Linked DNA regions of Arabidopsis thaliana. The protein of the gene in region 1 interacts with the protein of each later gene in a pairwise test. Each region holds a gene or a part of one and is shown on either strand. Other genes may lie near its edges.

Region 1 (5,362 bases):
CTCATATGTAAGTTTTAAACCTATCAAGTTCCATATTTACCTGAACATAGTTGCAAGTGTTGATTGATTGAATAATATTCTAGGCTTGGGGGCTTTGGAGTAACGGGCGACCATTAGAACTCGTGGATCCAGCTATTGTAGAAAATTGCCAAAGGAATGAAGTTGTTCGATGTGTCCATATCGGTCTTTTATGTGTTCAAGAAGATCCTGCTGAGCGTCCGACGTTGTCAACCATTGTTCTGATGCTCACTAGTAACACTGTGACTTTACCCGTGCCACGGCAACCCGGTCTTTTCTTTCAGAGTAGAATTGGAAAAGACCCGCTTGATACAGATACAACGAGCAAATCTCTTCTAGGGTCTGTTGACGATGCATCCATCACAGATATACATCCTCGATGATGATGAGTTTTTCCCTTCATACCTGATTCCTGAATCTATTGGTGTTGAAAATAAGTTAAAAACTTCTTTTGTTATAGAATGTTTGTATTGTAATTGTAACCACAAGCAAGTATAAGATATATACCATTTACACGTTTCTCCATGAAGACGTAACAGTGACTTTTCCCTCCAAATTAAGCTTACACAACGATCTAGCAGGTAATTTGATTCAGCATGAAGAGAGTAAAACCAGTAATCGAGAAACGATTCTTAAAGAACTGTGAACTGTTCATAAGCATTTTACAGTGGACACTGTACAACATACAATTACAGATAAACCTGCTATGTTTCTTATGTCCGTGGACAAATAATATAAATGTCATCTGACCATTTTTCTGTTACAACTTTTAAGCTATGATGAGGAACCACATCAATTTTTACGAACTAAATGAGGAAGACTTGCTTGTATACTGATCAGACTCTGATCCTTCAGATACCAGTTTCAGTTGCCTGCTTCGTGGGAAAAATCCCGGTAGGCGAGGCACTGGTAGAGTAATTGTGTTACTAGTCAGCATTAAGATGATTGTTGATAACATTGGACGGTCTTCTGGATTTTCTTGAACACATAACAGCGCGATATGGATGCACCTAGTGACTTCATTACTCTGATAATTCCTTCCAAAAGTTGGATCCACCAGCTCTAATGGTGACTTGTTTCTCCAAAGCCTCGAAGCCTAATACAATGAACAATTAAGTACCTTGGTCATATGTTTTAAAATGTTAAATTGTTGAAAGTTGAGGACTTTATGCTCACATAAGTGACCAAGTTTCCTGCAGTACTAGTTTCATCCATCTGGTAGACGCCGCTGTTTTTCTTGCCGCTTATAATCTCAAGAACTAAGACTCCAAAGCTATAAATGTCAGATTTCATGGAGTATTGACCATGCATCGCATACTCGGGAGACATGTAAGCGCTGAAAAACATACAACACGGGTTAATATGCAATAGAAAATGGTTTAGTGTTCAGCTACTACGAGCAGAACTTACTAGGTTCCAGCAATTCTGTTCGTGTTTCCTTGAGTTTGCTCCACTCCAAAAATAGTTGCCAATCCAAAATCTGCAATTTTTGGGTTCATGTCTGCATCTAAGAGAATGTTGCTGGCTTTGAGGTCACGATGTATGATTTTGAGCCGTGAATCTTGATGAAGATATAGAATCCCTCGAGCAATTCCTCCAATGATCTTGTATCGCCGGGTCCAGTCTAGCTGACTTTGCTTTTCCGGGTCTGCACATATCGACAATCAATCAGTATAAAGCTGAAGCAGGATCCTTTGAATAAGAAAAATTATTGACAGGAACCATACCGAAAAGAAAGTAGTCAAGGCTTTTGTTGTGGACAAATTCATAGATCAGAATCTGTTCCTCTCTTTCCAAACAGAATCCAAGAAGTCTAACCAGATTCCTATGTTGAAGTTTTGTCACAAGAACAGCCTCGTTCCTGAACTCCCTTGTGCCTTGTCCTGACTTTTTCGACAGTCGCTTCACAGCTACATCAGTTCCGTTAGAAAGCTTACCCTACGTACAATGAATGAAACAAACATTGTTGGTTATTTCCATAAACCAATATGAACTTAGAAAAAATGGAAAACAGAGACCTTGTTACCTTGTAAACCGCACCGAATCCACCTTCACCAAGCTTATTACTTGTTGAAAACTTGTTAGTTGCGGCTTCAATTGTCTTAAAATCGTATACCAATGAATCTGTAGTTGAAATATCACTTTCAGCTGCAAAGAATGGGTGTATTAGTTTCGTGTTTCCCGTCTTGGCTACGGGAGTATACATGCTGATAACGAAAGGAAACAATAAAGAGGTAAAACACAAAGAAACTAACATTCAGTCTTAGTTCTTTGGTAGGATTTTCTTCTCCGGAAAAGAACAAATCCTAAAACCAGCAGTATCAAGATGGCAATAACAGTGGGAACGGTGATCGCCACAACAACTCCAGCTGAGATTCCTTTGCTATCTTCTCACAACACATAGAAAAACAATGTCATATATTTAAGTTTTTTTGTTACAATGATAGTTTTCTCAGGTGGAAGACTAACCATTGTTGGTCGGGTTGTCCTGATCACCTGCAGGTTGTGGCACAGTCACAGGAGGTTCTGGAGGAGGAGAAGCCACCGTAAGATTATCAAAAGCGTTAGAATATGTATACAAATCCCACCGCAAAAAGCAGCTTGGCCGCATAACAACACCTCCTCGCTTCTGGCTACAGCACGACTGATAGTCAATTGCGCTTTGTCGCAGACAGTTTTCACAATCACCGGAGGAAAGATCCGGCGTGCATTGCATCAATGCATATATATTCAGGAGAGGTGTCAAGACTGCTGAATCAGCTGAGTAATGGTTATCACTTGAAGAAGGTGTGCTTTTTGCTGTGGAAGCTGCAGAAATCATACGACCCATTAATCCTTCCCATATTTTCGTAAACTCTGTTAGATTTGAGTCTAGGTCTCCAGTGTTGGTGAGCCAATTTCGCGGGTTCAGATCAGCAGATCCTGAGAAAGAAGTGTTGGAGTAGCGCACATAGCAAAGCGTTGGCTCACCTGGCCATGAATACGCCTCTGTTTGGTTAGGACAATTCTTTAAAAAAAATTCAGACTCTTTCTTGATACAATCAGAACAGTCTTCTGAAGTTGATCCTGGGATGCACATCCCTATTGCGTAGACACGGTTCGGTTGTTGTCCTATGGAACCGTTGTAGTATAAGCCGTCTTGGTCCGTGACATTTGAAGGAAGAGAAGAGAGGATGAGACGGCGATTTACGTCGTAAGTACCGTTGGGTCTGAAAGTCCCCTTGTCCGTCGTGCATGTTTGTGCTGAAACTGAAGCAACACCAAAACTTATGAAGAAAAAACAGAGGACTGAAAACAAACTCCTCTGCTTCATTGTTTCTTGAAGATTAAAGCAAAAGCTAGATCTTTGTGTTTAGTGTTTGACGCATCTGTACGTTTCTTACCAGTTTAAACAAGCAAAATCGAAGCTTCTCTCCAAAATTTTCAAATATTGAATTCGTCAAATTGATGACAGTGGTCCTGAAACCTACAAATATGGTCACGAAAACGAGTGTCAAAAGTCAAAGTCAATGTCAAAAGCTAAAAGTCAATAATATTTTCTTTGTTCACATTATATAATAAGGGGGTTGTTGAATATTGATTGGAATGTTGACTCAGATAATGACATAAAGGATAAAGTATTCATAGAATCAAACCCAGTGACGCAGAGGCAGATGGAGAGGAACAAGAAAAGTATTGGGCTAAAGTGTCAGTGTCATTAATTTCACAAATAAACCGGCTTTTGTCATAGGCTGCTCAGCACATTCCCAGACTATACATATACATTTGGCAATCAAAGCATTGTAAAAGCCTAAAAGAAAAAAACAGAAGATTAGCATACCTTTTTTCGTTGTGTTCTGTTCGTCTCAATTTATAGCCTAATCAGTGTCTCTTGGGTTGAGTCATGTAAGAATGCGTACATATGAATCACGCCGAAACCAGAAGAACATGTCGTAATTGGCTGAAACAGAGTAGCAACGAACCACTAGTGTGAGTAACAACAGCAACAATTGAGTCCAAATAGAATGCAAAATATTTCATAACAAAGGGCTGATATTACAGTGTAGACATTGATAGAGTTTGTTTATAACTTCGAGCCAGTCTACAAACAGATAAAACACCTAAACATGGCTTCTGACTGTTTCAATTATCTTCAACGAGGTTCCAGATCTGTAATGGTTACATCATTGATAGTTTGGGAAGTGGGCCTGTTTGCAGACTGGCTCGACCTCCAAAGCTGGCTGTACATAATTTAATCATCAAATCATGAACACACATATTTACCAAAGCTTATAAATAAGGACACAACAGATTAGTGATAGAGGTCTATCAAATTGATGCAGTATTATCCCATGTTTGCTCTCTTACCCCAAATAAGCATCGGAGACGGATTACATTTCCCACCGGAAAACGCAGTTGGCCCGGAGCCCTTAGCTAAATCGTGATTATGCCATTAAACACATCAAAATCTAACAAAAGAGCACAAACAAATCCGATAATCAATATCATTAAACGCCATTAGAACCAGAATGCTAAACCCTAAATCCGAGCTCAGAAGAATGCGCAAAGGCTGATTCCGACGAAGAGAGTGAAGAAGAAAAGTCGGTAATAGCGTTTGGTTTCCGGTTCATATGGTATAGGTTTAGTAAATAAACCGGTTTGGGTAAATATTCGTAGAAATTCGTCTACCGGTAAAGCCAAACCGAATCCGTCTAATTTACAGAGCTTTTTTACATGCATAACAACATTTGCGTTACTACTATACATGAATTGGTATGTTTATAAAATTTTGAAGCCATTCGTATCAGAAATCTTCAATACAACAAACCAATGTTACAATGTAGAAATGATAAAGAGTTTGTATGAAAAATAACTTTGAGTGACTCACAAATCTTACATAACTATGGATCATCACATTTCATTTTCAAGTGAAATAATACCTCACATGTGGAATCTGCGTTGTTTTCAGTAACAATTCCAATTTGTCAATTGGAACAGCAACTTCAACGAGGATCTAGATTTGTAATGGTTACATCATTTTTAGTCTGAGAAGTACATCCCATTGTAAATTGGCTCGACAAAAAGCTATCACGTTCTTTGTTTTGCGGAACAAAGAATCCAGGTGGTTGAGGAACAGATAAAATGAGGGAACTGTTAGTGAGCATCATCATGATTGTTGACAAGTTGGGACGATCTTTAGGATCTTCTTGAACACATAGGAGTGCGATGTGGATGCATCTTATAACTTCTTCTGTTTGACAATTCTCTGATATGGTTAGATCCACGAGCTCTAATGGTGATCCGTTTGTCCACAACCTCCAAACCTGTACAACAATGTAATCATTAATCAATAACTAACAAACAA
Region 2 (5,262 bases), on another chromosome or scaffold:
ACAATTGAAACACGGTAATATGAGAAACTGATATATATTTGATGATTTCACTGGGAAGTGAGAATTACACATCGGTCATTGAGTTACCTTGGCCTGAGATTATTTTGGCAGCATCAAGAGCAACATCCAAGACACAACAGAAGATAGCAATGAAAGTCAATATTGAGAAGAAAAGAAAAAAACTCTGACTAGATGATTGAAAGAATAGTCCTTAGAAGGTCAAATTTACCACGTCCAAAGGTTTCGTTGGAGGTTTGTCTGCGAGGATATCTAGAGGTAGTAGTGGAGTTGAGTATGCTTCCTACAAACAATAAAACCATAATACACGATTACATCACAAAACCAAATATTTAGTAAAATAACGGCCACAACAACAGAAAGTAATTCTGATTAGAAAGATTAATTGGGGAGGTTTATTGCTTCAACCAGTTCCAAGAACTAGAATGAAGGGAGCTTAAAAATGGCAAACCTGAAGAGCTGGCTTAGTGGGGATGCGGAAAGTAACGACAGCAGGAGCACCGTAGAAGACTCCTTTAACCTTGGCCTCCAATTCGATAGAATGAGACAGAATACCTCCTCTGCACAGCAAATATTAGATTAGTGACGAGAGTAAAAGCTAAAGCAGGCCAATATAAGATTTTATGATTGAGGAAGAAACTCACGCATCAAGTCTTTCCCATGATTTTGAAGTGTTTCCATTAACAACTTCAAAAGTCTTTTTATCCCAGCTATTATCTGTCAGAGTCACATCATACGCCGACCTGAGAGCAAACACCACAAATATCTGACGCTTTTAGCTGACATTCATTAAAAATCTCAAAGTCATCGTAGCCGGCAGATACAAAATTCACAAACCAAATCCAAAATTCCGATAAACAATGAGATCAGATCAAATGGCGTTTCGTTTAACTGATACGCATACGGTAGATCTAATGATAGCTCAAGCATAATCTCCTAATTCTACATTGACCAATCTCTCCATGCAATCAGAAATTAACACGGATCGGAAATGAAAATGGAGAAATCAAACGGATTCGGGAAATAACTAGATGAAGGATAGAGAACTAACGAGGATCCTTGGTTATAGATGTCGTAGGAAACGGAGACGCGTTCGGCGCCAGATTTGAGCCTGTTGAGAGTGGCTTTCTTGTGAACCACCATGAACGGCACTTCCGAGGTCGCGAACGAAGCAGAAACAAGCATGAAAACCGCCATGGCGGAGATCAGAAGCTTAGCTACAGCGACGGCCATGGTTTGCGATCTACGACGATGTAGGTGTTTAAGCAGATGCGGAAATAGATCTACGAATGTTTTCTTCAGCTCAAGAAACCTCCGACGACGATATTAATCACCACCACCACCACCCATTAACAAAAAAAGTCAATGATGGGCCCAATTGTTTTTCACCTGATAATGGGCCTACTTATAAAAGCCCATTCTAATAATAAAGTGTATTAATATACCGTCCAAATTAAAGAAGGGAAGTGTGTTTGCACTTGCAGTAGAACAATGAAGATAACACAGCCTGTCTCCTGCCACAATCTAACATGTTTCTTTTCCCACACCACATTTCGATTGGATCCAAATATTCTCTAATACTTTTATAATCATAGATGACTTTGTCTATTAATTATCTCGTCTAATTATAAAGTCTACTTAAGATGTAATAGCCAACGATTCATATCATTCAAAAGACATATTGACTCGAATCAATGGAGGTTTTGTTACCATAATCTCATTTTCATTTCTAACAATCTTTTGGTTGGAGTAAGAAAAGAGGGTAAAAACTGATAAAGTTGATTTGATTCAATTAATCAAGGTGGCGGGAAAGTTAAGGAAAGAAGTCAACGAGGAAGGAAGTACTAAAACTAAAACAGGAGAGCCAATAAAAAGTAGGCAAGTGGGTGGGGACATAGAATAAGAATTCACAGCTACCCGTAAGAAACATAATTAAAACTTGGATTAAACCGAAAGGCATGTGATTTTCCTTTGTTGGTTAACTAAATCACGTATATCTATCGTTGAATATAAGAGCATGTGGAGGGATTTGCATCGAACTCTGAAACCTGAGTAAATCTTCTCTTCCCATCATCACATGCTTACTTATCTCTTCTGGTTAGCTCTCTGAGATTCTCTCTTCCAGATTGTTCTTTTTATATTTTACTTAGAGCTTCAAAATTAATCCGGATCTATCTGCTTCAGGTTGTTCCAAAACATCCTTATTTTGACATATATATATGTCAATGTTGTGTAGGATGATTTTGTGAGCAAAAGATCATAGCAGAGAGAGAGAGAGAGAGAAAGAGAGCATGGGGTGTGCTCAATCTACTATTGCTGTTGTGGGAAGGAAGAACAAGAAGAGGATCATTCAAGAATCTGTAGTGTTTGTTCTACAGTTCCGTGTTCCTGTTCAGTCTGATCTTCAGCGCCAACTCAAAGGTGTTTCTCCCAAGACAACCATCAATCGGTTGACATGTTTAAGAAATCAGATTGAGTTGGTAGCTGAGGACACAGGTATAGAGAAATTAGACCAACTTCTTCCTCTTTTCTTGCGTGTCAAGACATAAGGTTCCATCTTTTCTACTGCAGGGGGTTCAGCCATCTCTGAGTTGCGTACAGCTTTGGAGGAGTACTTGTCACTTCTATCCGGTCTTATCAAGAAAAGTTCGTGTTTGCAAGTTTTGATTAACTTAAACAGTTTAGTATATTCAAATGGTGATATTAGAATATTTAACTCTACAGGTAAAGATGGAATGGAGGGCTGCGTAGAGCTCAAATGGAGGACCCTTGGCGATGGTCGACGAGTAAGTTCGGTTTTTGCTTAAATTAAGCTGATCCTAAGGATATTCATTTTGTTTGTTCTAGTATCATTAAAATCTTAACAATGTGAAGGGTGTATACAGGCAGAGATATGTTGCACAAACCTTTGGATGGAGATGTTGATAGTGATCCACATGATGGCTGCTTTGGCATTGACTGAAGCTAACTCTCTCATGATTCCAAAGGATTGCTATGCTTCTGGTTCTGGCAATGGCGTCCGTGTGGTCTCCACTGGTGTGGCCTCGTTGACTTTCACACTTTTATTTTAATTTATTGTGTTTACAAAAAACTAATTAACCTGTCACTTTCAAACAGATTGCAGGAGAGATGCGGTTGACTTGCTGCTCAAGGCATCTGGATACTTGGAGTTCTGCGTCCGAGAGATTCTGACTCAACTTCCTCATGATATAAAGTATGAAGCACAAATACATAAATTCTAGGATCACATTAATACTTACATATCTGAAAATTTGCTATATGTATGCAGGAGTAAGTTGCCAGATGATATGCAGGAAAGTGTATTACAAACTCTCTCTATACAAGCACTAGGCCAGGTTACACACATGCTTACTTTGAAACTGTGACTCCTAAACCTGAATCTTGTATATATGTTTTCAATTTGTAAGTTTGGTTGAATCTCACTGCAGGGAACTGAGATTCAACTTGGATTAGCAGTTGATAGTCAGAAAGCAACATTGTCTGTGAAGAGGAGAATTGCATGTGAGCAAGTCATCTACTTCACTCAGGTCCTCCTCATAGTTTAACAATCTTCAGCTTCTTATAACTGTGGCATGCTTTCGGGGCAATCATATGTCTTTTCTCTGTTTTAATTATTAATTTGCTATAAAATGATCTCATTATCATTTCAGGCATATCACTGCTTGTCTAGTTGTGAAGCAGTTAGCCATGGATGCGCCAAGAAACTTCTCCGGTTTATCTACTGGAAGTTTCTGGAAGCAAAGGTATTGTATGTGTATGTAAGCTATTGTTGAGAGTGATCCGATATATATTCATCTCTATTGTTCTTTCATAAAATATATCTCTCTATTATGTTCTGCTTTTTTCTTAACAGGCTGCAGCATACTACTACCATGGACTGGTAACAGACAAGGGAAGTGAGCCGGCTTGTCACTTGAGCGCTGTGTGTTGTTTCCTTGCAGCTGCAGAGATCCTAGGAGAAAGCAAAAAAGCCTGTCTTAGCTTCTGCTTAGCTCCTCCTGTCACAAGGTTTGTGTTGTTGTATGATATCCTACATGTGAATTATGAATGATTCAGAATTATTTTGTATCTATCAGGGCTCCTCCTATGTGGGGTGTTATGAAGCATTTGAGCCAGAAGATTCCAGAAGTTGCTTTTAGAAAGTCGCAGACATATGGATACTTGCTTGAAGAAGAAGAAAAGTAAGTCGTTAAGAGTGTTTTCTTTTTTTGCGTTTGTTTTAACGAATCAAACAAGATAGGTGATGATATGATAAAACCACAGGGCAATGCAGTGTTTGCCAGAGCTTCCAGACTTTCAGTTGTCATTGAGACCCGACGACTTTGAACTGCCTGAAATAGAGGATGTCTCTTCCTCATGAAACCAAACCCATTTGCTTAGAGAACATCTTGAGTTCTTGACTACTAGCTACTCATGTTGATGATGATGACCTTGATCGTTGAGAAAGAAGCACTCTCTCTACACATATTCTTTGGGTATTTTACCACTTATAATTGTAATGTAATATTTTGTATTCTTGTCAGACAAAATCTGATACTTGAGTATAGAGTAATGTAATATCTGGGTGATTACTTATCTTCCTTGATAAAGAATTTGGAAGGACTAGAAGAGAAAGAAAAAAAACAGCTGCTAATTAATAAAGGAAGCGTTTAGCTATGTTGGAGAAGAAATGTTGTTGTGTGAGGAGCTAAAAAACGGCCCGCATTTTAAATTGGAAACAGCAGGATAACCGCAACGTCACGTGAGTTAGTCACGTGTAAGTGATGATGACATGTTCGATTCCACACGTACAATAAAAGAAGTGGTTGTTGTGTGAGGCGCTTGGAAACGGCACGCAGTTTAGTAGTCTTAATTTGGAAAAAAGCGGAAAAAGCAGAATAACAATAACGTCACGTGTGGGATGATGATGAGATGTTGGATTCCGCACGTACCAACTTTGTAGAGGCGGTAAGGGATTTTGACGGCGGTAGTGCTAATGATCTCCGACACAGACATGATCGGATTTTTTAATCTCCCAATTAAGGTGACGGCGATGAATGATAAAACGCAAAAACATTCCGATTATCACTCGTAACGGTGATGATCGTTAATTCATCAAAATCTGCTGTTTTTTTTGTTCTTCCAAAAATGCATCATCCATGAAAGATAAAAGTATCATCAGAAACTTAAAATCGAAACGATCATCATCATCGTCATAAGTAATATCCAAAAAAGGTAGCAGCT

What was found.
Region 2: the proteins of CRK11 (region 1) and AT5G14020 interact in a protein complementation assay, tested with the Arabidopsis thaliana proteins (one large-scale study listed by BioGRID).

What each region holds. Positions count from the first base shown.
Region 1 is NC_003075.7:12,140,380-12,145,741, forward strand, and holds CRK11 (cysteine-rich RLK (RECEPTOR-like protein kinase) 11), read right to left. Parts: upstream 3,455-5,362; 5' UTR 3,332-3,454; coding exon 2,488-3,331; intron 2,406-2,487; coding exon 2,274-2,405; intron 2,167-2,273; coding exon 2,045-2,166; intron 1,957-2,044; coding exon 1,746-1,956; intron 1,667-1,745; coding exon 1,429-1,666; intron 1,355-1,428; coding exon 1,195-1,354; coding exon of another isoform or gene 1,153-1,194; exon of another isoform or gene 1,115-1,152; coding exon 818-1,114; 3' UTR 520-817; downstream 1-519. Other genes in the region: CRK10 (cysteine-rich RLK (RECEPTOR-like protein kinase) 10), read left to right, coding at 1-7, 84-401; CRK12 (cysteine-rich RLK (RECEPTOR-like protein kinase) 12), read right to left, coding at 5,001-5,321.
Region 2 is NC_003076.8:4,522,867-4,528,128, reverse strand, and holds AT5G14020 (Endosomal targeting BRO1-like domain-containing protein), read left to right. Parts: upstream 1-1,961; 5' UTR 1,962-2,309; coding exon 2,310-2,514; intron 2,515-2,589; coding exon 2,590-2,664; intron 2,665-2,742; coding exon 2,743-2,804; intron 2,805-2,903; coding exon 2,904-3,054; intron 3,055-3,135; coding exon 3,136-3,232; intron 3,233-3,307; coding exon 3,308-3,374; intron 3,375-3,467; coding exon 3,468-3,566; intron 3,567-3,689; coding exon 3,690-3,782; coding exon of another isoform or gene 3,783-3,812; exon of another isoform or gene 3,813-3,892; coding exon 3,893-4,047; coding exon of another isoform or gene 4,048-4,090; exon of another isoform or gene 4,091-4,115; coding exon 4,116-4,220; intron 4,221-4,302; coding exon 4,303-4,399; 3' UTR 4,400-4,708; downstream 4,709-5,262. Other genes in the region: AT5G14030 (translocon-associated protein beta (TRAPB) family protein), read right to left, coding at 88-93, 230-301, 470-578, 663-761, 1,070-1,251.